Drosophila melanogaster: one gene and its partner. The protein of the gene in region 1 interacts with the protein of each later gene in a pairwise test. Each region holds a gene or a part of one and is shown on either strand. Other genes may lie near its edges. The genes, in order: sol and CG15141.

Region 1 (15,779 bases):
GCGCTCGTATTGCTCATCGATGTACTCGAGTATGGCACCAAAGCTGTTGGAGTTGTCGATGGCATCGCCGAATCCGGGTGTGTCCACCACCGTCAATCTTAGCTTGACGCCGCGCTCCTCGATCTCCACCGTCGATGCCTCCAGCTTTACGGTTTGCTTTTGTTTCTCTGCAAGAGGGGAATGGTTTCCTGGATGAGTAATCAAAGCGAGTGATGACGAAAGACTATGCCCACCTATGGCGTCCGGAATAATGCGCTCGGGATAGAGATCGGTGAGAAAGAGACTATTGACCAGCGTGGACTTGCCCAGTCCGGACTCGCCCACCACCATTAGGGTGAACTCGAATCCCTTTTTCACGGACTTTCGATGCACCTGGTTGGGCAGGTTGGCGAAGCCCACATAGCCGGGCGTCTCGATGCTGGAAAACTGCACGAGAATAGGTGAATAACATTAGTATAGAGAACCAAAAGTCCTAGGCTTCATATATAAATAAAAATAATTAATATTAGAAACTTTCTGAGAATCTACTAGATAGGTAATGCCTTTAATTTCAGAACAGGTAAACAATCAAACATTGCTTGCAAAACCAAGAATTACTCAGTTCAATATCAGCACTATTTCTGGAACGTTTAAAGGCGAAACAAATGTGGACTTTTTTGCATATGGAAATTATAATCTTAACGAATTGCATATTAACTAAATGTGCCGTGCATTGTGTTCTATACATATGAATACATATGCGAATAATTAAGTGGGTCAGCCTATGCTGATTAAGCTATAAAACCATGCAATGCAGACTGACGATAAATCATAGTAATATTGTACATATATCTGCGGTCGATCAATTTATCTACCAATTAATTGGAACTATGTTTCTCGGTAAAACACTTTTGGGAATAGTAAAAACTTGCATCTCATGAAGAGAAAGTTGAGTTGAGTTAAGAAATGGGTTCAAGGATATGACCCAAAATGGACAAGTGATTGAAAGTATTCCATATGCCTTATTAACTCGTAACCCAACTCAGTTGGGTTGAGCTAATGTCTGGTAGTTAGGGTTTTGGGTCTTAGAAAGCGATGGCTTGGCTTGATTTGCATGCCCATCACGCGCGGATCAGTTTTCTCTTGGGCGCCCAAACTATGGGCACGGCACTCATTTCTCCGTGCACCAGAATGCACTGCCATGTGGGTCACGGGCGGCCGAAGTTGCTTCGCGAGGGCGGCAGAGGTCCCGGGAACAAAGGAACAACGCCGACGCCACCGGCATGTTGTGAATCACTTGACTTCTACTTCCACTTCCTTCTCCACTCCCGCTCAGCAATGCCCGCTCCCACCGAGTGGACAAAGGGCGGTGCAGGAGGAGTGTCCGATGAACTGGCGCGGCGAGATGAGCGGCAAACAAATCAACAGGAGCGCCGCATTCGGCATTTGATGCACTGGCAACCAGGAGTGGATGGCACGCCACGCCCAGTTGGCGGCGGATCGAGTTCGTTGGGGGACTGGCCGTTGGCCATTAGCATTTGGACAAGTGAACAGCGGCTACTCACGCCCTTTGTATCGGCCATTTTAAAAAAAAACACGAAACGAACGAAGAAATCAACGTAATGACGAACAAAATAGCAGGGCAACTAGTGTGACCGCAGCGCGCAACTGGCAAATCCTGCTGCCAGTGGGACCAGTTCGGCGGCAAAACAAAAATGACGACCGTCTGAACAAGATCAAGCTGGTATTTCTTTTGAAAATCTGGTTGAACGTAACCATATTTAATAAGTTATTTAATTATTATGGTTTTATATGGTTTATATTATATCATGACTATATTTTTATGATTTCACTTTATTAATCGGAAATTTAAGCCCGGACTATATTTACGATTTAGTTCGTAGCGTTTTTGACAGTAGATAACATCTTATGTAGATACCATGTCGAATATCTCCTGGCGCCATCTATTGTGTATCGTAAGGTATATTTTGATTGAATCGTTTTCCAATTCGCGCGTACACATTTGAAATTGTTTACACATTGGTGGCTTTTATAACTTGTAGTCTTTATTTTTAAAACAATACACATATTAATATTGGATGCACTTAAATTCACAATACATATCTATATAATCCACAATCATAGCCGCTCTAATCAAAACACAGATCATTGGATCTCAAGCGAATCGTGCCGAGCCTTAGCCTTAGGACTCCGGACTGGGGCTTCTGGGCTCTGCCGTATCCCCACCGGGGATCTGCTCCCACTTTCCGATACGCCTTAGTGCATAAACACATACATATATCATATCTGCACGGCTCTATACACATATATATGAATTGTTTCGCATGCTGATTGGTTTCAACTTTGGGTTTTTCGCTGTAATGTGTGATTCGTTAACAGAACATCGACTAGAAGACGGGTAGAATTGAGAGGAGACGCATGCAAATCAGGATTCGAACAGCGACATATCGCGGGGTAGCATCGAAATTGCGTCACTGCCATCCATCCCTATCCCTATCCCATTCTAGGTGATTAGCCGCGGAGCGTGCAGTCCATGGACATTCTCGATGGGCGGGCAGTGGGTGGCGCCGGGTGGCCCCCAGTCGTGCAGGCCGCGGGAATTCGCCAGACGATGGGTCAGCCGGTGGGCGATGCTGAAGCCGCCACTGCCCTCTAGTTGGGTGAGAACGATGATTACTTGTCTGAAAGCGTTAAGCACACGTTAAGCAATTAGTTGGGGGAATATTTTAGGTGGTCGATTGGGAGCCCACCTCTGCAGCGGGGGCACAGAGTCCACTGTCTTGAGTTCGCCGCGTGTCGACACCACATTGTAGCTCTCCTGGCAATCACATTTCACATGGATCCACTTATTCTCATGTCTATTTTCCACCATCACAACCAGACCCGCCCAGCCCTGTAAAGGAAATGCGGTCGAGTTAGTAAGGCCACCGAATCCCTAGATCCCTTCGCAACCGGATCACTTGCCTTGGTCAGATAGTAGGCGGTCATCCCCTCGCGCCCCTCGTGCCGCTGTCCCTTGGTTAGGGTCAGGCTAATGATAGCGTCGGCCAGGAGATGCGGCGAGGGACTTATCTGCTCCACCAGCAGACGCTTGGAGCTGTGTATCGCTAGGATGCATTGAGGATACTGGTGGGGATCCTCGATGCCCGTGTGCCAATGGTTGAAGGCCAGACACACAAGCAGGTAAATGTCCCGCTCCAGCATCTTGTGGCATCCCACAAAGCCTCGCACCTAAATGGAACGCAATTGTTAGAAGCGTTTCTATTTGCAGGGCTATGGGAAGCACCCACCTGACGCTTGCTGTGCTCCACTAATCGACCGATTTCCGGCGCCGCCGGAGACCGGGTGCGGAATATCACAACGCACAGGTCCAGCTGCGATCGCTGCGACTTCTCCGAGTTGCGCTGCCCCTCCTGGAATAGGGTAAACTCCGCCTCCGTCGGCTCCAGCACGGTGAGCAGCACACAGGAGATGGAGCACAGGGGCTGCAATGTCCCCTGCAGACGCACCTCGTTCCAGCCGGAGCGCACCTTGCAGATATCGATGCAGTCGAAGTAGTTAAGCACATCCTCGAACGAGATCCAGAAGACGCCCTCGCTGGCGCCGTGCGGCATCAGAGCATCCCGAAGATCGTCCGTCCACAGCGAGGAGTCATCCGACCAATCGCCACGCCACGAATAGTGACCCCACGGATTGCGTAGCTTGAGCAGGCGATGTCCCTGGATGTCCTTCACGTCCAGCACCGAGTAGGCGTGTCGCGGGCGCAGCCCCTTCTGCTGGTACTCCTCCTCGTCCACCTTTGGTTGATGTTGATAATTGAGCATAAGCATATGAAATAGAAGAAGACTTTGTAATAACGCAGAACCCACCTTCATGTTGCCACCGCCACAGCTGGCGCCCATGAGGAATCGTACGCATCGAGAGCTCAGCAGCTGGGCCCATATCAGGTCCTTGTCCAGTTCGTCCTCGCTGGGCATGGGCAAGCTACTGGCCTGTAGTGGAATGCTCTCGCAAGGCGCTCCTGTCAGCGTGGCCAGTCCCTCGATCGCCCGGCCCGAGACCAGCGCCTCGTAGCAGCCGTGGATCTTGGCCACAGCCTTCTCGATCAGCGGCACCCATAGCTGCTTGCGCTTGGCCTGCGAATAAACCAGATGGCCACGCTTGTCGCATGGCAGCAGATCATCCACCAGCACCGTCGTCCACTTGCCGTCTTTGCAGAGGCGCACCTGGTATGCGCCCTGGCCACATATCTCCTTCGTGACCAGCACCTCCTTGACCAGATCTTCGCGCTCCGCCAGCACCGCCAGCGCACTGAGTAGCCAGCAGTTGCCCAAGACGCCCTGGCAGATGTCCGAGGGCAGCGGGGTGCGGAACACAGCCCACGGTGGATACGCTCCGCCGTCGCAGTTAATCTCGTGCGGCCGTCGCCACTGCACCACAGGATTTCCCTCGCCTGCTCCGCTCGCCGGATTGTAGTACAGACTCTTCGGCGCCGGCGGAAACGAATCGTCCACGAAAAGCTCGCTATTGTCGCGACAGTACTGTATGATGTTTTGCCACTTGGTCAACGCTTCGGTCTCCTCCAGCTGGCGAAGGTTCTCCATCAGCTTGCTCTCCTGCCGAATATCTGCCGGTGTGAGGGCAACTCGAACGGACTTTCTGCCCAACGCCTCGCCCAAAACTGCGCTCGCCAGGCCGCGCGGACTCGAGCAGATGTCACAAACGACGGAAGCGGCACAGTTATCGTACGTGCACGCGGGACACTGCCACTTCTTTGTGCTGGTACTGGCTCCGACAGCTCCAGCTCCAGATCCAGCTCCAGAAGCAGACACTACCGATGCGGAGCCGACTCCCTGGCCCTGCTGCAAATTGTAATTGGCCAGACCAGCGATGGAAATGTTCCGTGGCACAATGGAGCCGCCGGTGCTGTGACGTTTAGGTATAGCGCCCGATGAGCTGGAGTTCCTCTGCTGCTGGAGTGATGGCAGCAGCTGCATCCTGGGCGAGGGACTGCGTGAGCCGCGCAGACCAGCCGCTGTTGACGTTGGAAGCTGCAGCATGGGCATGGGCAACGCCACCGAAGTTAGCGGTAGGTTCAAGGCTGTAGGCGCCTTGACCTCATTGGCGCCCGATTGGTGGGCACTGCCTCCTCCGCCCCCGACGGCTGCAGCATCCTGCTCCTCGTACGACTGACCATCCGGTCGCTCCCGTACCGCCTCCATGGCCATCGAGAGCTGCGGCTGGCGGTGGGACTTGCAGGCACTGCAGACCGGCGAGTGCAGCGAGTTCTTGAGCGTACAGTGGCTGCAGGTCCAGAACTCGCCCTTTCGCAACGTCATGTCCTCGATGGAAGAGATGCTTTTCAGCTTGGAGCCGCCGCACACCACGCAGGCCATTGCTGTCGAGTAGTTAACCAGGGTGCACTTCTTGCAGGTCCATGGCTCGTCGCGGGGTGCTTCTGGAATGCATTAGGTATTTGATATAGCACAAGCATTACATTATTTCCTGAAAACTGATGACACACCTGCCTGTTGCTGCTGCAAGTGGTGGTGGTGGTGCTGCTGCTGCTGCTGCTGCTGCTGTTGCAGCTGCAACTGCTGTTGCTGCTGTTCGGCTTTGGCCTCGCACATCTCGCAAGTCTGGAGCCAGAGTCGGTTGTAGGCATAGGAACATTTGATGCATATCCACATCTTACTGCGGCTGCCGTTGCCAAGCTGTGTCTTATTGTCGTGCCGCGAGGCAGCAGCTGCTCCTACGGCTGCAGCTATAGCTCCAGCTGACGCGGTCCCTGCTGCTGCGGATGCGGCTCCTGATAGGCGGCTGCTGCTCCCTGGATCATGCATACTGCAAATCGAAAGCAAGACCATCAATTGTAATGCAGTCAAGTTCAAAATTGATTCAACACGGGAGATAGGCGAAATCAAAATGTAATTAAATTGAACACTTGAACCACAGATTGTCATAGCCGAGATCAGCACGATTGCGAATGAATTAATTACCTCAACCAAGTTGTGACAATCTTGTGGCAAGCCAATCATTAATTTAAATCATGCCCATAAACAATTTGCTTAAATAATACAACTGAACTTATAGCGGGCAGAATAAAAATAAAAGCTGGTGGACGGGCGAAATACAAACAGAAGGCCGCAGTGACTAAGCGCCACGCAAATTATCAGCAAAAATAAAAACGTAGCCAACTGATAAGCTTCTGCGGGGGATAGGAAGTTGGATGGGTGTGGACTAATCTCGGTCGCACGCTAGCTGCCAATTACATTTTCGACTCGGTCGCCTTGCGCGGTCCCTTCCACACTTTGGCGTAGATGGAGTGCTCCTCCACCTGCGACTCGGATTCGCTGGCCTCGCCGCTGCCATCGGTGCTAGTGCCTAGTCCGGCGGTAAGGGATTCACTGACCGCATCCGCGATCTCGCCACTGCCAGTGTTGTTGTTCGTTTGCGATTCGCTGGCAATCTGTTGCTTCTTCTTGAGCTTGTGCTGCTTGTTCACCTGCGCATAGATGGGCATGGTAGCCGTTGGAGCTGGTTCGGCCATAGCCTTAGCTGATGGCGAACTCGCAATGGCCACCGCCGTCGCGGCTGCCTGTGCCGCCTGCGCAGCAGCTGCTCTTAGTTGCTGCTGGGCCAGGGCCACGCATTCGTTCTCATACAACTTGTTGCTGCCGCTGGAGCTGCTGCTGTTGTTGTTGATGATGTTGCTGTTACCGCTGCTATTGCTATTGCTGTTGCTGTGATGGTGATGATGATGGTTGGAGCTAGAGGAGACGGAGGAGCTGCTGGCCATTGGCTCCGACCACTCGTTGACGGCTATGAAGACGCCGTTCCGCGGAATGGTGAACTGCGTGGGATTCATACTCACTGCTGCTGGCTCCCGCTGGGTTTTCCGCTGCAGCTGCTGCGGATTAGCCGGTGACTTCTGCTGCGGCTCCTGCTGTAGATTCAGATTTAGATTAACGACCTGACGCAGTGGCTTCATTTGGCCATGGCCGGCATCCTTGGCCGCCGACCGAGAGAGCGTGGTGATGGTAAAGTTGTACTTCCGCTTGGCACCGCTCTCGCGAACCACCTTGTGATTCTGGTTCTTGTTATTGTTGTTCTGTTTGCGCCTGCAAAAAGTGTCGTTGGCGATGGCAAAACGGGAGTTGCTGCAGGCGGCCACGGGGGGAATCCCTGCGAGAAACACATAGGGATTAGAATTGGATTATCGGATAACAAGTGCGTGCATTCCGGTTATGGGAAGCTAACACTTTCATCATGATCTGACTAAGATTAAGAACTTTACAAAAAGAGAATAGACTTTAAATAATTCGGTTGTCCATTTAAAGAGTTTCTTCTAGTAAAAATTTGGAAACGATAGGCTGGCCAATAAGAATACCTTATAGTTATTTCCTCAAGTAACCTTTAACCTTTCATTAGTTCGTTAGCTGATGAACGCACCTGTCAGCTGCGGCGCCGGCTTGATCTGCGGCAGATTGAAGATGTCCTTGCTCTGGTTGTTCGCATAGCAAATGTGGCAGCTGCGCCCGGAAGCGCTCTTGTCGATAGCGGTGCTCAGGCTCTGGGTGCGGCGCAGTCCAGAACCCGAGCCCGGTCCGGATCCCGATCCGGATGCAGATCTACCTTTGAGGTGGCGCTTATGCAAGTGCTGGGAATGTAACTGATGCTGATGCTGCTCCTCCAGTTCCTGGTGGAGGTAGTGGTGATGATGATGTGGATGTGAATGGTCCGCCGCCAGCAGCTCGCCGCGATTGCCCAGGCTGCCAGCCAGATCCTGGCCTCGGTCGGCGGCGATGGCGTCCTTGTAAATGGGCGCCAGATAGCTGACCGTGTCGCAGATGAGGCAGTGCCAGGTGACCGAGCTGTTGTCCGTGCCGCAGGCGTGGCACACCCACCGCCGATTCAGGGCCGGATTCGAGAAGTGGCGGTACAGCTCAATAGAGCTCTTGATGTACTTGCGCGTGTCCTCGCAATCCACGCAGTTGGCGGGCAGATTCTGGCTGTTCCGCTGTGGTCTTTTCAAGCATCCGCGCAGCAGGGACTTGTACACATGCTTGTACTCGCTCCTGCAAAATAGGGAAATGGGGTTTTTCGTTTTTCGTCGGGTTTGGATGGGATTCGGTGTTCTTGAGCTGTTTGGGCTTTCCCCACTTCCTGACCGCAAAGGTTATCTCAATGACTGGCCATTTTCCTACTCTCCGCTCGTCCGCTCGACTCGGAAGTTGTTCCTACACCTCTTTTGCTCTTCAGATCGCCGAGCGAGTTCGCGAATCGATAAACTTGTAAACAATGCTTCTTTATCCAAATCGATTTTCCCCAATTCTCGCTGCTCCTCGGCTGTTTTGTTGTTGCTTCTGCCTCTGCTGTGTATACATGCTCTCACATACACACACTCGCGCACACACACACACACACACACACACACGCTCAGGGACAATCACCAGTGCCGACGGCTTGGCTTTTAAAGCTAGACTTTTGAACTGTGTACTTGTACACACTGTACCTTTTCCTAGCCTTTCGAAACTTAAGTTCGTAATATAAAAATCTTTCAACTTATTCCTATACTCCCATTCGAGTTATTCCTATGGATAGTTAATCAGGATTTTCCTAACCGATTTCATTGTTTTCTTATTCTTTAAGTTTCATTATGCACAAAAGGGTTAGTGAGAACTATAAAATTTACTAAGATTTACTCGGTCTGCTCTTTGGATATTAAAGTTCAGCATAGGAGCTTACGTTGGTAAGCTTTTGGTATTATTATTCTTTGAAAGTTAAGGTTTTTGATTGACGAATTTTACCGATGAAAGTATGTACATATTTGTGTATTTGTATATTTTCCAAAGTGTGCATACAATGTGTGTGCGAAAAAAGTTGGATTTGAAAACGCCACCGATTTCTATACACATTACCATATGCGACATGATTTTAGCTAGCGCTTTTGTCCTCCAATTGGATGCCACCACTGGCGCCCACATACACACACACACACACGCATACAGACACAGACACACACAGGCACATCCTCGCAGAGGAGGCATACAGGCTGTTTGTTTTTGTGGCGACCGCTTCGCTTACCTGGCAACCGCCGCCCTGCCCTTCTCCTTGTCCCTCTCCTGCCCCTTCTCCGCCTGCTCCTGCTCCAGTGCATCATCAGCTGTCCAGGAGGCGGTGATGCTGCTGCTGCGATGCTGCTGCTGCTGTTGTTGGGGGAACACCTTGCGGACGGTGCCGCAATTGAAGCACTTGAGCGACTCCGTGGGATTGATAGTGTTACATTTGGTGCACGACCACTGCAGCACGGATGAGATGGTGCCCATTGCGCGGGGGAGTCGCAGGAGTTCCCAGATTCCTTTCGACTTCTGAGTTGTTTCTCTTGCTGTTGTTGTTTTTGTTGTTGTTGGCTGGCTGGCGGGGGAGTGGATGTGGAACTGGGACTGTCTATGGAAACTATGATGTGTAGGTGCGCTTTCGAGCTGGTGGCCGGGCGGAGATGGAGATCAATAGGAGGACCAGAACCCGGGACCAAAACGAGGACCAAGCAGTGGCTTCCAACAGTTGCACGCCGCGTTCTCCGTCGCCGTTTCACACCATTTTTTAACTGTTGCCGCTAGGGTTGTCGACGTTCGCGAACACCTCCAACGACAAGGTTGCCCGAGTGCGTGAACTCTGCCGGACAGGGTTGCCAGCGCGAGAAACACGGCTGCTACCCCGCAAAGCCAGTGTTGGCAAGTGCCGTTAATGAAAAATCGGTACCTTCAATTTTTAGACCAATTCTAATATGTTTTTGGGAATGAATACATACATATATTCATAAAACGACGCAAATACATGCATAAAATTATTTGACCTTCTATAACAAGTAATCAACATTGAGGAGCTTAGTTTAGGAAGAGTTTAAATTTAATATTTAGACATGGATTATTATTTTTTAGCCGCTTTCAAATGGAAAGTCAAATTGAACTGAACGCATTAACTTGAGTTAAATTTTAAACAAATAGAAGCACTTCATTGATACTTACTGTATGTGGAACGAAAATACCAGATTTTGGTATTTACACAGCTTGGGTATACTGCAACAATCTGGTCACTCTGCATCAGCAGCACGTGTAGTTCGCTTTTTTGGCAAAAACATTTGCTGTTATTTAGTTGTAGTGTCCAAGAAAACGCAGCAAAGATGGTTAGCTCGGAGCCGAAAGGACCTGCTAACGTGGCCAACACGGCCTCGCCCCTCAAGGCCCATGAATCGTCCGGCAAGCGCGCCAACGGACAGAAGTTTAAGCCCGGTGGAGCAGGAGGCGCCAGGAAGTTCGACAAATTCGGCGGAGGAGCAGGCAAGTCGTTTGTAAAGCCAGGCGCTGGTGGTGCCAAGAAGTTCGACAAGTCTGGGCCCGGTGGCTTCAAGAAGTTTGACAAATCCGGAGCCACCGGCGACAAGAGGCTTGGTGGCAACAAGTTCCGCGGAAAACCACAAACACAGCCACAGGCGCCGGCGGAGGGCGAGAAACAGGACTGGAACAAGTTCAAGAAGGAGAAGAAGGACCTCAAGCTGAAGCGCAAGAGTGCCAAGGACACCTACGAGATCAGCAAGGAGGCCAACCAGATCCACGAGAAGTTGCGATGGTGAGCATCCCCAAAAACACGATGAACAGCCCAAACAATCGGTTATTATCATCCTTAGCGCTCAAATTACCTATACAAATTATGATAGCTCAACAAAATCGGGCTCTTTCATGCACTTATGTACATTCAGAACGTACAAAGTTGTTTAAATTTCATAAGGCATCAATCTATACGATATAGTTTTAATAATTATAAGTCATTTTGGTTCCTTAAAGGACAAGATATCGATAAACATGGCCATGTGGATCCCAAAACGAAGCACCTGTTCGTGGAAAAACCGAACATTGCCACTTGGTTCGAATTCAAAAACACCAAACATTTTATTCATGTTCTTGAAACAATAATAGCTAGTTAAGCATTTTGATCAGTATCAAAACTAAGTTAATATAGCCTTGTATTTCTGTATAAATGTTGAGTTAGAACCAAGAGCGTAGATTCCAAAGACGCCTATTTAGCGCATGCTGTTTTGTTTGGTCATAAACAAACCAGCTCTATCCTCTGTCGCGTTTTTTTTTTTTTTCGTAAAATTACAACTAATGAATGCGCAAATCCTATTGCTCTGATATATATATATCAACATAATTTGGTGCTTGTCTTGCAGCCGCCGAACGGAGAACAAGGACAAGCTGGTGGAGCAGATATACAAGGTGCTCAACGTGGGCGACACTATTTCAAAGGTGGTGAAGGCCCACGACACCGCCCGCGTGATCCAGAGCATGCTAAAGTACGCGTCGCCAGCTCTGCGGGCCGAGATCTCTGAGAAGCTGCTTCCCTTCACCGTGGAGATGTGCCAGTCGAAATACGCCCAGTTCTGCGTGCAACGGATGCTCAAGTACGGTGCGCCAGCCACCAAAGCCAAGCTGGTGGACAGCCTGTACGGACATATAGTGCGTTTGGCCGGACACAGCATCGGCAGTGGGCTGCTGGATTCGATGTATCAGAGCGCCACACCCAATCAGCGCATCTATATGCGCCAGGAGTTCTACGGCGATCTGTACCGGAAGGCCAAGGATTCGAATGTGAAGACTCTGAGCGACACCTATAAGGAGGCCACGAACATGAAGGCCTCCATTTTGGGGTCGGTTAAAGCAAACCTGGATCATGTGGCCAACAAGCAGCTGGTGGACAGTGCGCTGGTGCACGCCGTGATGCTGGAGTACCTGCGCGCCTGCGACGAAGATGAGGAGAAGCTGGAGGAGACGGTCACTGCGTTTGCGGCTCTAGTGCCTCACATGCTGTCCACCAAGGAGGGCAGCGAGGCGGCTGTTATATGCTTCTACAAGTCGACGCCCAAGAATCGCAGAGTAAGTGGATCACGTATAACGTGTGTTGATGAAACAGAATCTTATATGTATTCTAACCCCTTCTTCAGGCCATTATCAAGAATATCAAGGAGCACCTGCTAAAGATCGCCAACCATGAGCACGGCCACGTGTTCCTCATCTCGCTGCTAAACGCACTGGACGACACTAAGGCGACCAAGAAGGCAATTTACGATCACCTACACGGAGATCTAAAGGCGCTAATGAGCAGCCCGTACGGCCGACGAGTGATTCAATGGCTGGTGGCTCCGGGTGATACGACATGCTTCCATCCAGAGTTCATTCGCACGGTGGAGGAGGGTCTAGCCTTTGGAAAAAAGGAGAAGGAGCTGCGTCGCAAGGAGATCCTTGAGCAGATAGAGGCGCCGATTGCACAGTCCATCGCCGAGGATGCCGCCTTTTGGCTGTCCAACAGCCACATCGGCCTGGTCACCGGCGATATTCTTAATCACAGTAAGTGCACACTTCTGAAAGCCATAGCAGAAACATACATATGGATTTACAAGAATATGTTCACGATATTAATGTACGTTTGCATCTCTGCCTTTTAGTTCAAGGCGAGTCCTATGAGAAGGCTGCTTCGGCCCTTGCCCAAGTCGTCGTCCAACCGGAGTGGCGCATTTCAGCAGACGCCGCCGGTCCGCAGCCGCAGGATAAGAAGAAGCCTCACAATGACGTGGAGGCCATTATAGCCCAGGCCACCAAACAGCGCAGAAAACTGCTTTATGTCGAGAGCAGCAGCGACGACGAAGATGAAGATGAAGATGAAGATGAGGAGAGCGACGATGAAGGAGACGAGAAGGAGCAGAAGGAGGCGGCCGCAGATGATGCCGAACCCAAGGTGAAGAAAGCCAAAAAGGAGCCCAAAAAGCCAAAGGCAAAGGAGGAGGAGCCGGCGGCTCCGTTGGTCTCCGGAATCGAGGAGGCCGGCATGCACATTGTATTGAAGAAGATACTCAAGAACGATGGCAAGCGAGAGGGCACCCCGTTCAGCCAACAGCTACTCCAAAACTTGTCCTCCGATGTGGTAAGTACCCAAAAATCATGCCATCCGGTAACCGAGGGTATCTTCCTTTTTCCCAGTCATGAGAAACGCATCGTACTTTTGAGTTTTTTCTTTTATTTAATGACGTTTCGACATTCCTTTAGCTTTAGTCTAATAAATAAGTAGTCGCAAAGTAAACAGCTTCACTCAGATTCCAATTCCTAATTGCGATTCCCTTTCCCTTTTCAGCTGAAAGCCTGGCTGGGCGTCAACCGGGCCTGTTTTGTCCTGCTCAAGCTGGTGGAGGAGTGTCCCGCACTGCTGGACGACTGCAAGAAAGCCATCGCGGCGGAGAGGAGCCTTAGCCAGATACTCGCGGACCGTAAGACGCCCGGAGCCAAGCTACTGGCCGCCAAACTGGACATTGGCAAATGAGAAACGCTTCTAGCCTAGACAAGACCTAACATTTTAAAATACAATAAATAATTCTATATTGAAATGGCTGGGCATTCCGTTTTATTCATGTGAAGGGACGCGAGTTGTGCTGTGGGTCGGTGCTCGATGAGTCTATGCCTTGCGCAGGATGATGTGCAGGCCGGAGTCGCTGTCGACGATGCCCGACAGCTGGTTGACGTTCAATTTGAAGGCAGCGTCCTCGAAAGCCGCCTGCATCTGACCTGTGAGATGTGAAATGTAATTAGAAGCAGTTGCAGGTCGGTTGGGTGGCCTAAACTCTACGATTGCAAGTAGCTCGCGAAGTTATAGGTACAAAAATGTGTAAGGTAAGGAAGATTAAAAAAGAAATGCCGCGGAGCCAATTGCAAATAGTGTTTGTCTATAACTATGCATCTATAATCTATTAGTGGTCGATATATCTTCTCTTCTCTTCTCTTGAATATTGAAAACAATCAGAGCCTCTAGTGGAAGTACCAATCTGTTTCTGGATTGCGCCTCAAGTGGGAAGCGCCTTATTCCTAAACGGACACACATCGAGGACCACTCGATCCTGGACGTGTGACAAATGCACAGTGGGGAGATATACATACCTCTGCCGAACTTTCCCAGGTCGCCGCCCCTCTTGGCGGAGCTGCAGTCGGAGTAGGAGCGGGCCAGCTCGTCGAATGTGGCCTCCTGCTGGACGATTTTGTTGCGATAGACCTCGAGGAGCAGCTGGGCCTCCTCCTTGGTGCGCGTGATGTTCGCCTCGCGCCACGAGCTGGGACGCCGACTGCCCTTGTGCTTAACCAGCAGATGCAGGCAATGCACCTCGTCCGGTGCATCTCCGCCGCCGGCGGATCCTCCGCCCGCCTTCTTCGCCGGCTCTGTGGGCTGATCCCACTGCGACTCCTTTGTGTACATATTGAGATAATAGCTCATTCCTGCAAAATCAATCATGATCAATCAAGTGCAGGTTCAGTTTAGCGTGCCGGTTCCGCATTCCGCCGGAAAACCGCCGGCATGGCACGAGCGGGACTGCACACGATGCTTACCTGTGGAGCGGCTAGTGCGCTTCTCCCAGCCGTCCGGTAGTTGCTCGGCATCTGGCATGCTGTTTTCACTTAATTTGAGTTAAATTACAAATAGTTTTCGGAATAAAATAAACCACCAGTGTGACCGCGCCGAACACGCTTTGAGAACATCCATCAAAATCGATAGCGCCTGCCATCGACATATCGATACACATGGTGGCGAATTCGCCAAATAAGGTGCTGGCACGTGCTAACTGCGGTGGGTGCACTCGCTAACCGCAGATACAGCTGAGGCCAATATAATAGCAGCGAACTAACAATAATGTGCTGATATGTGCTATTCTGATATGTTATATGTATCTTTTGCCGAAAAATTAGCACATAACTTAATTAAATCTATTCCAATACCTCCTTCAATCCGCGACACGAATAGAGGAATTTCAATTTTTCTAATGTTTATTCAGGGGATTAATAAAAATAAAATAAATACGTGGGCATTTGTACAATTAGTTTTAGTGCTTCCTTGACTTTATTACAGGCTAGCTTTAAGTAGGTTAACATTTTAAAAGGACTAGCACAGGGGAGTAATCCTCTCAGCTCAGCGTATGTATATATATATATATATATATATATTGCGTATTTGTAGGCATATGTGATATACATACATATGTATGTATATTTGCATTCAATATACTCATGTGGTTTTCTCGCAGGGAGTGGGCGAATACTTGGCGTTCTTGGAGTTAGCTAATTATTTAGTTAGGGGCGGGAGCAAGTGAGCTAATAAAAAAATTTAAATTAATTATACAAAACAATTAAATACATTTTATAAAAGTACAAACACACGATCTTCACTCACGACCTGAAGGAAGGGCTTGGCTTGGCCCTTTCATTCTTTTTCCCTCGATACAATTTTGCTTTGTCATGTCTTCTGGGGCAGCTACTCTGTCACGGCAGCTGCCCAGCGCATCTTCCCAGCGAACAACATTCGCATCCGGCTAACAGAGGTCTAACTTAATGCTTAATGACCAATTTACAACTCGATGGGGCTCCTCTAACGGGCTAAGATTAGTGGGTAACACCTCTAAGGTGCCTCTATTCATTTCATAAAACTAAACTCACATTGCAGGCGTGCTCTTCGACTTCTGGTTAATAAATGCACTTCCCGAGGCCGATTCACTAGCTCTGACAGGGACTCGAAGGCGCCAATCGAGACAAGCAAGACAAAAACTAGCGCCTTTTAGGCGCTTTCCTTGCGGAGACCTAAATGGCCACATAGCGGCGGTGCATGAATTAGGGAAATTTAAAAGAACTACTCGACGATGCTCCTTCAGTTGGCTAAAATTATAAATACACCTTGAAGGCGCTCCA
Region 2 (16,121 bases), on another chromosome or scaffold:
TTTAACTCAAACTCATCTAATTTTTGGCACGTTACGTTTTATGTTTTGTTCTTTAACCACAGTGAAGACACTCAACTCATTCCCAATTGCCAGTCATTTTCCCAAATTGATTCATCAAATTAACTTGAAACGCTGAGAAGAGTACAAATTTCATAAGTTTAACTAGGCATGAAAGGTTTTGGGGGTTCAACAGCATTTAACTCGGTCAAAATTTAAAATAACAATGGGTTAAGGTTATTGCTGATATGTATACAAACGAAATTGATTTTACATCAACTTGTATACATACATTTTATAATAATTATTATTCTTTTTGCATTTTGTGCTGGCGCAAAATTTTTTATTTACCAATAACTTGCATCTGCGAAGATTGAATATGCATAAGATAACAAAATAAGTTTTCATGGGTTCATCTCAGTTCAGATACACAGATTTCTACACTTAAATTATCATATACGCAATCTCGAAATTACAGCAAGAAAAACGCAAAAACAACCTATTGTTAATTATTTGCATTCTTAATTATATACGTTAGCACTTTTGCACTGTTTGCTTATCCGCACAGTGCGTTTGGAGAAAAAAAGCTAGCGCACACAATTATACCCTATTATTGTTTCCTAAATTTGAAGAAGGGACTGTTTACTTTTATGTGCTTTTCGCAACCGCTTTGGGGCTTTTCTAGAAGACGACTGTCTTGTGGGATGATTGAGTTTTGTGCTTTCTGTTTGGTTTTGTTTTCAATAAATTGTTTGTGTTTATATTTATATGCGGATACGTGTTAGACTTTTCTATTTGTCGAGCGCACTTTGAGTTTGAGTGTTAAATTAGCAACAAAATTATCACCTGAAATTCCCGGTCCCAGCCACACCAAATCCATATTTTCCTGCCTTTCTCATCCACTGATCAAGCTATCCATCCTTTTTAACGCAAAACCAAAAAGATAATCTGACTACCAATTTGAACAAAATTAGGCTGGTCCTTAAGAGTTGAAATTCTGTTTGCACAAGACTATTTTTGTATGATTCTTATAGCAAATACTGATCGAAGCGGATCGCTGGAGACGCCTGATAGCGAGACACAGCATAAAGGTATCCGATCTGCGACGCGAGTTCCGCGGCTGGTCCGGAAAACACGAGAGTCACTGCATCCTGCACAGTGTCCTCACACCGCTGCGCATCAAGTAGAAATCCGGATGAGAGGAATGGGCGACCATAGTGCTCAAAACTATTCGATTCGACGATTTTTGAATTACATTTCTTTGCACCGAGAAAGGAACCACTGAAGACAAAGTTGAAGTCTGCACAGCGTTTTAAGCTGATACAACCAAATAAAGAATTAAAGATCTTTAAAATAATGAAAAAAGGAAACCATAAAAAAAAACGAAAGCCAATCGAAAAACCAAAACGAATAAAGTTAACTTAAATGGTTTGATTGGCGTAAAAATATCAAAAACGAAATTAAAAAGATAAAAAAAACGGTTAATGGAAAAGTTGACTGACAATTTTCGATTCTTTTGACGAAAGCGAATTTTTCTTGCTGTTGGTTTAGTTATTACGATATACACTTAAATACTATATATATGAAGAAAAATACACTAACAATATGCAAAACATTTTTACAATCTCCCAATGTTGTTTTATTTATGGTTTTAACTTGCGTGCTAATTTCCTTTCCTATTTCTTTGACCCCTCGATCCTCAGCTAAAAGCAAGAATCGTTGAATTGGAGTCGGCATTGGACAATGAACGAAAGAAAACTGAAGAATTGCAGTGCTCCATAGACGAAGCCCAGTTTTGTGGCGATGAATTGAATGTAAGGACAAACAGAAGTCGTGTCTGGAAATGTACATTGTTGGGTTAAAAAGTTGATGTTCGATAGAATTTTTAGTTTACTATATTTGCTCTTATTAAAGTTTAGCTTGATATATTTGTTAATATTGAGAATCGTTAAACTGATTGTTAAATTCTGAAATCAACAAGGAAAAATCTCAAACTAAGCTTATCGTTCGTTTTAATGCGTTTTTCAAGCTATTGCATTTGCTGGATCCAAAAGTATGCTATATAAATATTGACTTTTGTAAGCGAAAAACAAACTCTAAAAATTATTGCATGCGGCTCAGTATTACTGAGTATTAATACAATAGAATATGACGAACTAGTCAATAAAATATTTAATATTCCAATTAAAATATAATATGTTACTGTTATTAAATGGAAAACGCATATATCTTCCGGGAAATAAATGAATAGAGCAAGTCAATGTACATTTCCATGCACTGAGAATAAAACTAGGCCCCCTATACTAATAATATAATTCCTATATAATAGGCTCAGTCACAGGTTTACAAGGAAAAAATCCATGATCTGGAGTCAAAAATCACAAAACTGGTGTCCGGTAAGGAATAACAATTAAAATTCCAAGTGAAAATGCTTAATACCTTGATGCATCCTCCTTAGCCACGCCAAGCCTACAAAGTATACTACCGCCCGATCTACCTTCAGACGATGGTGCTTTGCAGGAGGAAATCGCCAAGCTGCAGGAAAAGATGACCATTCAGCAGAAGGAGGTTGAATCTCGGATTGCGGAACAGCTGGAGGAGGAGCAGCGGTTGAGGGAAAATGTAAAGTACCTTAATGAGCAAATCGCCACTCTACAGTCCGAGTTGGTGTCCAAAGATGAGGCCCTGGAGAAATTCTCCCTCTCGGAATGTGGCATCGAGAATCTCCGAAGGGAACTCGAACTTCTCAAGGAGGAGAACGAAAAGCAAGCTCAGGAGGCTCAGGCTGAGTTCACCCGAAAACTAGCCGAAAAATCCGTAGAGGTGTTAAGATTAAGCTCTGAATTGCAAAACTTGAAGGCAACATCCGATTCCCTGGAAAGCGAAAGGGTTAACAAAACCGACGAATGTGAAATTCTTCAAACCGAAGTACGAATGCGGGATGAGCAAATCAGAGAGCTAAACCAACAACTCGATGAGGTTACCACACAACTAAATGTACAAAAAGCGGATAGTTCTGCTCTGGATGATATGCTTCGATTGCAAAAGGAGGGTACTGAAGAAAAATCTACTCTTTTAGAGAAAACCGAAAAGGAGCTAGTTCAAAGCAAAGAACAAGCTGCGAAAACTCTAAATGATAAGGAACAACTTGAAAAACAGATATCAGATTTAAAGCAATTGGCGGAACAAGAAAAACTAGTCAGGGAAATGACTGAAAATGCAATCAATCAAATACAACTAGAAAAAGAATCCATAGAACAGCAATTGGCTTTAAAACAAAACGAACTTGAGGACTTCCAAAAGAAACAGTCAGAATCGGAAGTTCATCTTCAGGAAATCAAAGCTCAGAACACGCAGAAGGATTTTGAATTAGTTGAATCTGGTGAGTCCCTTAAAAAACTGCAACAGCAATTGGAGCAGAAAACTTTGGGTCATGAAAAACTGCAAGCTGCTTTGGAAGAACTAAAGAAAGAAAAGGAAACGATCATAAAGGAAAAGGAGCAGGAGCTCCAGCAGCTCCAAAGCAAGTCAGCTGAATCCGAAAGTGCTTTAAAAGTCGTACAAGTACAACTAGAGCAACTCCAGCAACAGGCTGCCGCATCTGGAGAAGAGGGATCCAAAACTGTGGCCAAATTGCACGATGAGATTAGTCAGCTTAAGTCCCAAGCTGAAGAAACTCAGTCCGAGTTAAAATCCACCCAATCCAACTTGGAAGCCAAAAGCAAACAATTGGAGGCAGCAAATGGCAGCCTAGAAGAGGAAGCCAAGAAGTCAGGCCATCTGCTGGAACAGATTACCAAACTTAAATCTGAAGTAGGGGAGACGCAGGCAGCTCTCAGTTCATGTCATACGGATGTGGAATCCAAAACTAAGCAACTTGAAGCCGCAAATGCAGCTCTGGAGAAGGTCAACAAGGTAAGTCTGTGAAATAAACGACGATATAGTTATTGTCATTCTTTAATTAAACAGGAATACGCGGAATCCCGAGCGGAGGCTTCTGATCTGCAAGATAAGGTGAAGGAGATCACCGATACGCTACATGCTGAGCTTCAAGCTGAACGATCGTCCTCCAGTGCTCTCCATACTAAGCTGTCCAAGTTCTCGGATGAAATAGCTACCGGCCACAAGGAACTGACCAGCAAAGCCGATGCCTGGAGCCAGGAGATGCTGCAAAAAGAGAAGGAACTACAGGAGCTGCGACAGCAACTTCAAGATAGTCAAGACTCTCAAACAAAGCTGAAAGCAGAGGGAGAGCGGAAAGAAAAGTCTTTCGAGGAATCTATAAAGAATCTTCAGGAAGAAGTCACTAAGGCCAAGACGGAGAATCTAGAGCTAAGCACTGGCACACAGACGACCATAAAGGACCTGCAGGAGCGACTGGAAATCACCAATGCTGAGCTCCAGCACAAGGAAAAAATGGCAAGCGAAGATGCGCAGAAGATTGCCGACCTTAAGACCCTTGTGGAAGCCATCCAGGTGGCTAATGCCAATATATCAGCTACAAATGCGGAGCTCTCCACTGTATTGGAAGTTCTTCAGGCGGAGAAGAGTGAAACAAATCACATATTCGAGCTCTTTGAAATGGAAGCCGATATGAACTCAGAGCGGTTGATCGAAAAAGTTACTGGGATTAAGGAGGAACTAAAGGAAACCCATCTGCAACTGGATGAGCGACAGAAAAAGTTCGAGGAGTTGGAGGAGAAATTGAAGCAAGCTCAGCAAAGTGAACAAAAGTTGCAACAGGAGTCTCAGACTTCCAAGGAGAAACTTACGGAAATACAACAATCCTTGCAAGAACTCCAAGATTCTGTAAAGCAAAAGGAAGAACTTGTCCAGAACTTGGAAGAAAAGGTTAGGGAAAGCAGTTCCATCATAGAAGCGCAGAACACGAAACTAAATGAAAGCAATGTTCAGTTGGAAAACAAAACTTCTTGTTTAAAGGAAACCCAAGATCAATTGCTAGAGTCACAGAAGAAGGAGAAACAATTGCAGGAAGAGGCTGCCAAACTTTCCGGTGAGCTGCAGCAAGTGCAAGAGGCCAATGGAGACATAAAGGATTCCCTAGTAAAAGTAGAGGAACTAGTAAAGGTGTTGGAGGAAAAACTCCAAGCAGCCACCTCCCAGTTGGATGCCCAACAAGCCACAAATAAGGAACTCCAGGAGTTGCTGGTTAAATCTCAAGAAAACGAGGGAAATCTGCAAGGAGAATCTTTGGCAGTCACTGAGAAACTACAACAACTGGAGCAAGCAAATGGGGAGCTTAAGGAGGCTCTGTGTCAAAAAGAGAATGGCCTTAAAGAACTTCAGGGCAAACTTGATGAAAGTAATACTGTATTAGAAAGTCAAAAGAAGAGCCACAACGAAATTCAGGATAAGTTAGAACAGGCCCAGCAAAAGGAGAGGACTCTTCAAGAGGAAACATCCAAGTTGGCGGAGCAACTGAGCCAATTAAAGCAGGCTAATGAAGAGCTCCAGAAATCCCTTCAGCAAAAGCAGTTACTTTTGGAAAAGGGTAATGAATTCGACACCCAGCTGGCAGAATATCAGAAAGTCATTGATGAGATGGATGATGCGGCTTCCGTTAAATCCGCGCTGCTGGAACAGCTACAAAATAGAGTTGCGGAACTGGAGACCGCACTCCGTCAAGCCAACGATGCCCAAAAGACTGCTTATCTGGAGACTAAGGAACTGAGGCGCCAGCTGGAATCGCTGGAACTGGAGAAGTCGAGGGAGGTTCTGAGCCTAAAGGCTCAGATGAATGGTGCGAGCAGTAGGTCCGGAAAGGGTGATGAAGTGGAGGTGGGTTTCTTTTTTTTAAGCTAATATTTTATATATTTTGCAAACAATGGGCCTTGTCAATTTCCAGTCACTGGACATCGAAACCAGTCTTGCCAAGATTAACTTCCTGAACTCAATTATTGCTGACATGCAGCAGAAGAATGATGCACTCAAGGCAAAGGTGCAGACCCTTGAAACCTTGCCAATGGATTTCACCAAGTGAGTTAAATTCTTTTTCATCTCGGTCGAAGCATTTTCGTTCATAAATGTATATAATATATTTAAGACCTCATGCCTTCGATGCCCTGACAAAGCGGAAACCGGCTCCCAGACTTTTCTGCGACATCTGCGATGAGTTTGATCAGCACGATACGGAGGATTGTCCAATCCAGGGAAGCGAAGATCAAGACTACTCCACACCGTCATCCGAGTCCAACAACAACGAGAAGGAGCGGAAGCTGCCGGCACCCAGGAAATACTGTGATTCCTGCGAGGGTGAGTAAAATAAAATATCAAATTTTACTGACATTTAACAATGTTTTTCCCAATTACAGTTTTTGGCCACGATACGAGCGAATGTGCCGATGATGAAACCTATTAGTTAGCTCTAGTTAAATTCTATTATTTCCATTTTACTTTGTTTTAGACTCTATAGCATAACCATATTGCGAGATCTATCAGATGAGATACTTTTACCTCAGCAGAGCTTCACTCAATCACACAAAGAAATTTCTCTACTTAAAATTGTGATCTTGCGTTATGCACACATCCATGGATAGTAGTCTATTTTAAATTGTTTTTATTTATTGAATGCGATTCGTGGCAAACACACAATCGGTTGTTTTCGTAATTTTTGAGTGTAAACATAGTGTAAAAAATAAAATCAAGAACGTGGAAGAAGAAGCTTTTATTGGGTTTTCATAAGACTAAGGAATTAATTGGTAATTATATGATTAATCGCCGCCCTCCTTCTTCTCCTTGATGGCGTCCTGAAATCAGAGAAACATGGATATTAAAGAAATGTTTCGAGGACGTTTTGTGCAGGTAATACTTTGAAACGCTCTTCGAAGAGAGATAATTCTGCTAGAAGATCGGTTATGGCGTTCATGAATGCTTCCTGCGGAGAATAATCGGCCGTAGTCTGGATGCGGATGACGAACTTGTGCTCCAGAGGATGCGGAACCTTGTAGCCGGCAAACAGAACATTGGGATCCTTCAGCAGTTGGCTGCAGGCAAGAATGCAAATTTAATGTGTAATCAGACGGGCTTGTTGGCCAACATACTTGCGGATCATGTTGCCCAGCGTGTGATCCTCTTTGTTTATGGTGAATATAGCCGCATTGGTCACTTTGGTGTCCAGTTCCTTGATGATTCTGCAGCCGCGCCATAACAAACATAAAAACGGGTTAAAGGTGGTCATTCGGAGTAGTCTGTTTTCTTTACTCACTTTTTCTCGCCTTCATAGAGCAGAAATGACTCAAAGGTAGGTGGTGCGTTCATTTTGATGTCTTACTTTTCGTTAGTTACTGCAAAACTTATAAATTGTTTATTAAAATCAGCAGCACGCTCAGCAAAATTCTCCGGTACAGTGTTGACTAACGCCCAAGTGCAACACAAGCTAAAGTAGCTATATCTAGCAAAAAGTAGCTAGAACGCCTAGCTAATTTATTTTAGTATTTTATAAATCATTTTTAATGTGAGCATCTATTAAATAAAATAAAACTTGTACTTTGAATTTGAAAATAATTTAATTTGCTTATGTTTTTTGGTCATTAAATAAATAGCTTAATCACTTCTTGCAACCAACACTGGCAGCCGATACCTATCGCATAGACAAGCTGTTGTGGGCCATCCCTAGGTTTCGGTGGTTGAATTATTTGCAAATTTTTATCCAATCGCGCCAAACGCTGCGCATTCCGCCACTTTCGAGAAACTGACACGAAGCCAAGCTAAAAATACATTATTAAACAGCTGACATGAGCGAGTCGAATGCCACAGATGGTGTCCACGAGGTTGAGGAGTCCAATCCGCTGGAGCAGTCGACCATTACGATGCTAGATGTCCTGGAACAGGAAAAGGAGCTGGAGGACGAGTACGCCGCAGTGCTGGGCGCCTCCGATGAGAAGTCGTGCACTTACGCCAAGGGCCCCATCGGCCGACAGGCTCTGTACTCGTGCCTCACTTGTTGCCCCGAGGCGCGCGAGGATCTGGACAAGGCCGCAGGAGTCTGCTTGGCCTGCTCCTATCGCTGTCACGAGCACCACGAACTGGTGGAGCTCTATACTAAGCGGAATTTCCGCTGCGATTGTCCCACCCAGCGTCTGGGCAAGTGCTCCCTGAACCCACAAGTCGAGGGCGTTCAACCACGTAACGTGGGCAATCTGTATAACCAGAACTTCCAGGGGCTGTACTGCAAGTGCAAGCGACCCTATCCCGATCCCGATCGCACCGTTGAGGAGGTTATGCTGCAGTGCGCCATCTGCGAGGACTGGTTCCACTTGCCGCACATGAAAGCGCCCGGCGCCAGCGACAAGTGGCTGGATGTCTGCAGCGAAATGATTTGCGATGGCTGCATGGATGCCAAACCCTTCCTAAAGGACTACACTGGATTAGCCCTGCAGCCTGTGCTAGAAGATGCGAAGGAGGACAAGCCGGAGGCTGACGATAGCCAGCTGAAGAACGAGTTGGACCGCAGCATCTGCGATATCATGAAAGTTCCTGAAGGTGAATCTCAGCCAGACGAAGGCGAACCCAGCCAGAAGCGCGCCAAACTGGACGATTGTCGTCGGCCCAAACCAACCAAGGAGCATCAGGGTGAGTAAATTAATATAGATATACATGCGTATGCTCAAAAAAAAAACATATTTATGCAAAAGCAACCTTAATACATGAAAAGCAAGTCAAAGTTCTTCTTGCCATCGCCCAAGTAAAGGAAACCATGCTTGTGGGAGTTGATTTTGTGAAAGAATGTCATGCCCAACCAAAGGCACGACTTGATTATTACCAAACCCTCGTTCCGTTGCATATTCAGGGCAAAAGCCTGACACAGTGGTATTACGCAGTCAATGGTGTCCAGAAAGTCAATAGCATAGTTATAGTCGCTCCTCTTGGCCAAATTGACTTTGAGATCATTGCGGGGCAGGCGATAGAGCTGGTAATATGATTGGTTGTCGATCTGCAAGTCATTCAGTCCACGAAACATCTGGTTGGGTATAACACGACCATCGGTCATCTTGTAAAAGGCTCCGCGTGGGCAAATGGCACACTCCTCTGTTATAATAAACACAATGGCTGCCAGCCGTTCCTCCTCCTTAAGCTTGACCACTTCAGGGCGGCTGATACCAGCCACCTGATTGCCTACGATGTCAAAAGTGGGGTCCTGTGTGCGTACAATATCAGAAAAACCACCACCACATTTACGTACTATCAACTCACCAGCTTAACGTAGGTCATCAGGCTGGGATCTCCTATAAATGGCTCCCTTGCCAATATAGTCGCCTGAAATATCTTGGGGCTCTGTACGAACGGCAGCAACTGCCATTGGAACTGGTCCAGACTGTAGAAATACTTGCGATCCTTGAGACAGTCATTAGTGTAGCCAAAGGCAATGTAGTAATCGTTCTTGGTGGCCGTAATGCGACCCCAAAGATACATGCCCGTAAAACGATTGTCATTTTGTAAAGCGATCAGCGAGTTTTCAATCAAGATGCGCTGCTCCGGCGACAGCTTCATGCCGCAGTACATTAGGCAGTCGAGGCCCTCGGTGAAGAACTCCAAATTCATGACGAAAGTATCTTAGCAATTTATATGTGAAGTGTTGAAATAAAATATGGATTTAAGTGCTGAGAGTATTTGAAAGAAAACTCAGAACCGTAAAAAAAAATATGTTAGCGGAATGGATTTTTAATTACATGGCATGCATAAATCAGCACAAACTCTTTGAACTGCCAATTTCCCCCATTTATTCATCTCTACCCTTTCTCTTTCAAGGAGCTGCTTTCTGGACAAATGACTGGCGAAAATCACTCTGTCAGTGCTCCGAATGCCTGTCGCTTTACAAGGAACTTGCCGTGGAGTTTCTGCTGGATGTCGAGGATTCGGCTAAGACGTACGAGGAGCGCGGCATGAAGCGGGCTGAAGAGAATTCCAGTTATGAGCAAGGAATCCGGGCACTGGCCTCCATTGACCGGACACAGCAAATCGATGCGATTACCGAATACAATCGCATGAAGGACAAGCTAAAGGAATACCTGCAGGCATTCGCCGCCAGCAAGAAGGTAGTGACCGAGGAGGATATCAATCGGTTCTTTGCCGGCATGCGCAATGAGAACAATGCCAACCTGGGTCAGCCCTATTTCTGTCGCTAAACAGTTAGCACTCTATATTACTCTAGTATTACCCACATTCCCCCATGAAAGCGAAACATACATACATACATCATGTAAATTCTAAAGTTATATTTTATTTAAACAATAATCATTTTCAATTCACTTTTGTCAATAACGAAAAGTCGTAACAAGGCATCGGGCAATGAGATTCGCATTTCCCTCATTAAATTTATGTACATTGCGGTAAAATAGAATTATATAAGACAGGTTTTGTGTTGAAGTTCATTTTGGATTGAGACCTTTTTACATGTAGCTCTAATTGGTTAATTTCCGATATATTTTATGAAATATATGTACACTAGTATTTAGCAAAGTTTGTTGTTCATTTGAATGGCTGAATTCCCAAGCTATTGAGTTCTGCCTCAATGTCCTGGATAAGTTCGCTGGTGTCAATGGGCGCCATGCCTATGCTGCTGGAAATTAGATCACTAAACGATTGGGTGGGTTCATCTGCTGGAGGTTGCTGCTCCTGTGGCTGCTGTTGCTGTTGGTACTGCGACTGTTCTGGATGGGATTGGGCCAGATATGGAATGGACTCTGGCTGCAATTGCGGCAGGAACTGCTGAGTCTGTTGATATACCTGTTTAATGCCAAAATTTCCTTGTGGCGGTATGCTTATGGCACTCATTTTCTGACTTAAAAAGTCATTGTTATTGTTATTAATTAGTACATTGTTGTTATTATTGATTGGTGTCATAGAGCCACCACTGAAATGGGTAGGACTACAGCCGTTTACCGGAAAGTTTGAATTCTCCGGCAGATACATATGGTTATTCCTCTGTCCGATTTGAAACGGCGGAATGCTATCCACTGTACTGCAATTGGACGAAGGCGATGCGAAATTCCCATTAAATGTGAAGTTTGTGGCATCTGGCAAATAAAGATGAGTTTGATTTTGCCCCATTTGCATCGGCGGAATACTATCCACTGTACTGCAGTTGGATCGAGGCGAAGCGAAATTGCGTTCCACTGATGGACACTGGCTACTCTGGCTATCCACATCCATGAATCCATTCTCCATCTTGATATCCTGCACAAAATTGGGACTTCCGCCGGGAAACATCAAAGGCATACCAGGCGACACCTGTGTCTGCGGTGTTGTGGTCGCAATTTGTGGCTTGGAAAATATCGTATACTGGCCTAGAAAATAAATAAAAAGTTGTTAGCCTTGTGTTTCCAGTATTAACGAGAAAAGCGTTTCAAAACTTAAAATGCTTTTATTAAGATAAGCATAATTAAGATAAAACTCAGGTAAAACTAAAGCAATTTGCGAGAACTCAAAAGGGACAACAGCAGCAAGCCACAACATCAACCTGCCTTGGCAGTATCAACTTACATTATTTGATGTCCAACTTTGGTGGCAAAAATGGAGTTTGATGGAAACTAGACAAAAATTGGAAGGGTAGACACATTTTCGGTTGTCCGAATACTTAAAGATACCCTTGCCATTCAAACCTTTTGCTTATTTTAATAAACTTTTTTAGAGATTGGTGATCTAATAACTTTTAATTAATAAGATGAAAAATTGAAGTCGCAGCAAAAGTTTTTTAAAGTTTAAATAGTACGTATAAAATAATATAAATATTATTAAATATAATTTATTGTTAACGGACGAATATAATCGCTAGTTAAACATTTAACTATAACATTATTTTTTGATTTCTTTACAGGCAAGAGCATTTTAAAATTTTAAGAAATTGCAAAATAGTTCAATGCCACGACTTTTACGAAAATCTTTTATTCATTAATATTGAATACAATAAGAACGGGTGAAACAAACATTTTTCTATTCGAACGGTCTATATATTCATTAATGGGGTTCTTCGACTACAACGTTACATTTCCCAACAATTCTGGGACGGACAACAACTTTATCCATTGGTCCACAAGGTATTCAATCCTGTACTATCAATAGTGAATTTTCAGCAAACATTTTTGCTAGTCAATATAAATAACACCATCGAGTGATGAGTTTGTGTATTTTTGTGTGGTTAATGAGTTTTTCTAGGAACTGCACAGATGAAATGCTTCTATAAAGAAACCCAGTCCCGGCACCAGTATAAATGCGGAAAATTCGTGAAAACTTACTGGAGGTTTTAACCTGCTTGGATGGATGTAAATTGGTGCTCATGAGACTGCGCTTTAGGCTTTCAACTGTTTTTTGGGCAACACGGCGATTGTGTTTGGTTAGGAGTTCTACAAAGATATTTAAATTTTATGTCGATTAAAAAAAGATACGTATACAATTGAATTTGGTGAGCGATCGATCTCAGGGGTTCTTAGCTAGAAATTTGTGTAATCATTATAATTAATACTGAAACAAAAAGACGACTAGAAAAGTTTAATTTGTTGGTGCAGTTGTGTGTTTTGCTGTTAAGCACTAACTAATGCTAGGGTTTTGGTTAACTGATTCGATTATAAATCCGCACATTTAAGAAAATATCTCGTTATCCCATTTTGTCTTCAAATCAGTTATCCGTAACCCAATTCATCTACTCCAAGCCATTTGCCTCCGCCAGCCGCCGTGCTATTTCATCCGCACTCAAAAAATCGGTCGTATCCACTCCACCAGTTGCTGCTCCACCTTCGCCGCACTCCCCGCCAAATGGTGGTTCCGGACTTTTGCTGGTGTACAAAGCAAAGTGTTCCGCCTCGGAGAGATCCACACTGGGATCCAGCACAACACCATAGGCTCCCTCGCACAGATTCTTGATGCTCTGCCTGTCGGCGATGGCAATCAATTCCATATTGCCGTCACTTATGGGAATATCCGCCAGTTGCAGAGTGCTCAGGGTCTTCCTATCCAGCGGTCGACCGTAACTAAGGGTGCTGGCATTCGAGTAGCTCTCCGGTCGTAGCAAACTGTTCTCGCTATCGCCTCCCTTCAATGGTATGTGAATAACATCCGCATCCAGGTGGGCAGGTCTTTTACCCGATACACTGCTCGAACTACGACCGACTGGCTTGCCATTTCGACCCTCACTTTTTCCCAGTGGCTGCATCGATCTTGTGGAGCTGCGATTGGGATCTCCCAGGGAAAAGTGCGCAACGCTTGGTTCCCTACTGCCGGTGGGTGTTGTGGCTTTCGATCCCCCTGGTAGTTGCTTATTGGGGCTGCCACCAGGTGTCAGAGATTCTTCGTCATCCGTCTTGCTCCTTCGGCGAGAAAAGAATCTCGAGAAGAATCCCTGACGCTTCTTTGGCGAAGCACTGGGCGTCGGTTGCCTTTTGGTGGGACTTTGATCAGGGGTTCGCATTATAATTATAGGCGAAGGTGTAGTTCTATTGGAGCTTAGGCTGCCGTTTCGCGAGCGGCTCACAGAAATTGAATCACTGACAGCACTCAGATCCTGGGAGTTTCTCTGCGGTTTCGGTGGTAAGGGAGGTAATCTCTGATCTGAAACTGGGGAAGGAGTTCGAGGTGGCAATGGCAGGGGCGGTGAGGCTGGGGGCGTGGCTGGTGTCTGAGCAGCGTTCACTTTGATCCTGGGAGCTGGTGGATTTGTCAGCACCACCAGTTCGTCATCATCTAGCTGACCAAACGGATTGGTGGGTGGATAAATGGGGGCTGCTTGTTTGCTTTCTTTGGGCAATCCTATGTCTATGGGATTATTAAAGGCTATTTGTAGGCTCGTATATGTGGCTGTCTCATCGAAGTTTTCATCTAAATCCATAGAGGCCTGGGCACTGGCTGAAACCATTTCCGGTTCTTTTTCATTTTCCGGTAGCTCTTTCACGGCCGGATTCTCGAGGGTATCCCTGCGAGAACCATTGGCCAAAAGACCGTGGGCTTCCTCGTCCAACTGGTTCGTTATGGTCGTATTGGCTGTCAAGCTGCTGACATTGGTAAATGCTGTTTGGGCCGTGCTATTCGATAGGGATTGCGTGTCCCCGTTCTCCACCGTCAGGCTATCCGTTCTCTCGAACTCGCTGCTCTTCATCCACTCGGTGATTGTTTCCACATTGGACAGGGGTCGCGATTGCAGCTGCGGATGCTGCAGAATCTCCTCCATCGGCGTGGACGTCTGGGTGCAGTCATCGGCCAGTTGGGGCAACAATTGCGGAACCTCCAGCTCTATTTCCATATCTGGTTCGTTATCGTTATCCGTGTACTCGGTGACAGTGCCACCATCCATTTCGTGCGATTCACCCCTCTGACGCATTTGCATTTTCTTGACGGCTATCTCGAATTCGTTGAGAGTTCCCGAACTCTGTTGGTCATCGGATGAAACCGTGTTATTATCCTCCTCCAGATCCATCGGTGGGCACGAGTATTTCGTGGCCGTCGTTTCGCTGTCTAGGGAAAGGATCTGCTGGAACACGTCCAGTTCCTGGCGGCGTTTCAACTTTCGCTGTAGCCGGGCAAAGGTTACTGTACCTGGATTCGGGTAGTACTCGAACGGCAGTGGGGCACTCGTCGCTCCATCCGAGGGTCTCACTAGTTTCAGCTCCACCTGGAAGGGGGGAAAAAGTGGAGTTAGTTCTATTTCATTCGTGCAAAAAATTTAAACTCGGAAAATTAATGTTTTCGGAAGTACAAGTATTCGATTAATGGTACTTAGAGCGCAAATGCTATTTTCAGTTTATTTTACGTTATTAAATTTGTTTTTTTTTTATTGTAACCATTGATACATATGGAAAATCCGTTGTGTGCAGCATCGAGAAGTGCTCTATTTTATTCATTAATTGCACTTTTTAAATTGCCGCTCGACATGCACATGTCAATTCAGTCACTTTTAGATAACAGAGATAAGTTTAAATAAAGTATTGAAATTATTTATTTAAAAAACTGAACTCACATTAACACTTTGTGTGATCTCGGTGTTCCTGTAGCGCGGCGTCTTAAAAGCTATGGCCATCTGTTTGAACACGTCCGTGGGTTGGAACTCTGCGTTGGCGAACCACGTCTCCCGTCCATCCTTGTCCGTCTCATAGAATCGCACCTCGATGTCGTCCTTGGCAATCTTCTCGCACAGCATGATGATCTCGTCGCCGCCGTTCGCAGTGGCCGCGCAACTGCACAGCCGGGTGATGGTCAGTTCGCTGCTCTTGCCGTAAATCGGTGAGGATACGATGGGATCCAGGGGCACTTTTGAGTTGCCCACTGTGATGAAGGCCTGGTAGCAGAGGCGCAACTCATACCGATTGATCTTGTCGATCTGGTCCTTGTGATCGAATTTGGCTGAAAGGAAAGTATAGTTACTAAAATAATAGTAGGAACTATTATAGTTTGAATTGCAGGAGGTATCATATAGTTTTAACATCCTTAAGTAAAGTGTTAATAAGATGACTCACCATTGAAGGGATCGATGTTTCTCCTTTCCCTCTCCACCAGCGAGTCGCGCATCTCCAGCTTCTTGGCGCACTGTATGCCCACTTTTTGGAGCACCAGCCGCCGCTCCTCTGGCGGCAATTTCTTTTGGTAGATGCCCGACTTGCAGGCATCCGCCTCCTCCTTGCTGACCAGCCAGTGGGGATGCTGGCGGAAGGGCTCGTCGCTCGTCACACAGGAGACCACGATGATGACGGGTCCATCGTAGTTGCACACTTCGATGGTGGGAAAGGTCTTGCCCGTTTCCGAGCTGGAGTTCATGCCCGGAATCGAACCGGCGGTGCGACCCTCGCATTTGTAGCGAAAGCGGATTATATTGCTTGTCGGCTCCTCCACGATACGCAGGTGGGGACCACTTCTTGCACTTGGCTCGGGCAGATTCTGATTCATATTCTGATTCTGCAGGTGGAGCGGAATGTGCGACGGCATTACCGGCAGGGAAGTCGACTGCGATAATATGTGATGTGCAGCACCGCCTCCGCCAACAGCTCCTGCCACACTGCCTCCGCCGGTGGCGCCACCATTCAACTCCATGCTGGCATTGATAATTTCCTCTGAGGAAGGTAAGTATTAAGCAGAAATCAATAAGTCAGCGTGCCAGAAACAATTTAGCTTAGGCTAAGGAA

The links.
Region 2: the proteins of sol (region 1) and CG15141 interact in a two-hybrid assay, tested with the Drosophila melanogaster proteins (2 studies listed by BioGRID).

What each region holds. Positions count from the first base shown.
Region 1 is NC_004354.4:21,344,159-21,359,937, reverse strand, and holds sol (small optic lobes), read right to left. Parts: upstream 9,659-15,779; 5' UTR 9,330-9,658; coding exon 9,088-9,329; intron 8,304-9,087; exon of another isoform or gene 8,177-8,303; coding exon of another isoform or gene 8,172-8,176; intron 8,079-8,171; coding exon 7,453-8,078; intron 7,186-7,452; coding exon 6,273-7,185; intron 5,845-6,272; coding exon 5,525-5,844; intron 5,459-5,524; coding exon 3,870-5,458; intron 3,798-3,869; coding exon 3,291-3,797; intron 3,232-3,290; coding exon 2,965-3,231; intron 2,894-2,964; coding exon 2,751-2,893; intron 2,682-2,750; coding exon 2,504-2,681; 3' UTR 2,026-2,503; downstream 1-2,025. Other genes in the region: Septin1 (septin 1), read right to left, coding at 1-167, 234-426, 1,545-1,562; peng (penguin), read left to right, coding at 10,187-10,632, 11,234-11,936, 12,005-12,407, 12,506-12,981, 13,189-13,374; dod (dodo), read right to left, coding at 13,507-13,616, 13,986-14,318, 14,430-14,487; fliI (flightless I), read right to left, coding at 15,753-15,779. UniProt on the Drosophila melanogaster protein: Has a role in eye development. Calcium-regulated non-lysosomal thiol-protease.
Region 2 is NT_033779.5:17,403,030-17,419,150, forward strand, and holds CG15141 (uncharacterized protein), read left to right. Parts: upstream 1-7,611; 5' UTR 7,612-7,751; coding exon 7,752-8,589; intron 8,590-8,619; exon of another isoform or gene 8,620-8,656; coding exon of another isoform or gene 8,657-9,154; intron 9,155-9,210; coding exon of another isoform or gene 9,211-9,558; exon of another isoform or gene 9,559-9,604; intron 9,605-9,765; coding exon 9,766-10,142; 3' UTR 10,143-10,470; downstream 10,471-16,121. Other genes in the region: CLIP-190 (cytoplasmic linker protein 190), read left to right, coding at 1,701-1,811, 2,327-2,393, 2,456-3,912, 3,967-5,796, 5,864-5,994, 6,062-6,270, 6,330-6,376; Polr2J (RNA polymerase II subunit J), read right to left, coding at 6,729-6,764, 6,827-7,001, 7,059-7,148, 7,223-7,275; Rsph9 (radial spoke head protein 9), read right to left, coding at 8,657-9,154, 9,211-9,558; Dif (Dorsal-related immunity factor), read right to left, coding at 12,656-14,617, 14,963-15,345, 15,459-16,049.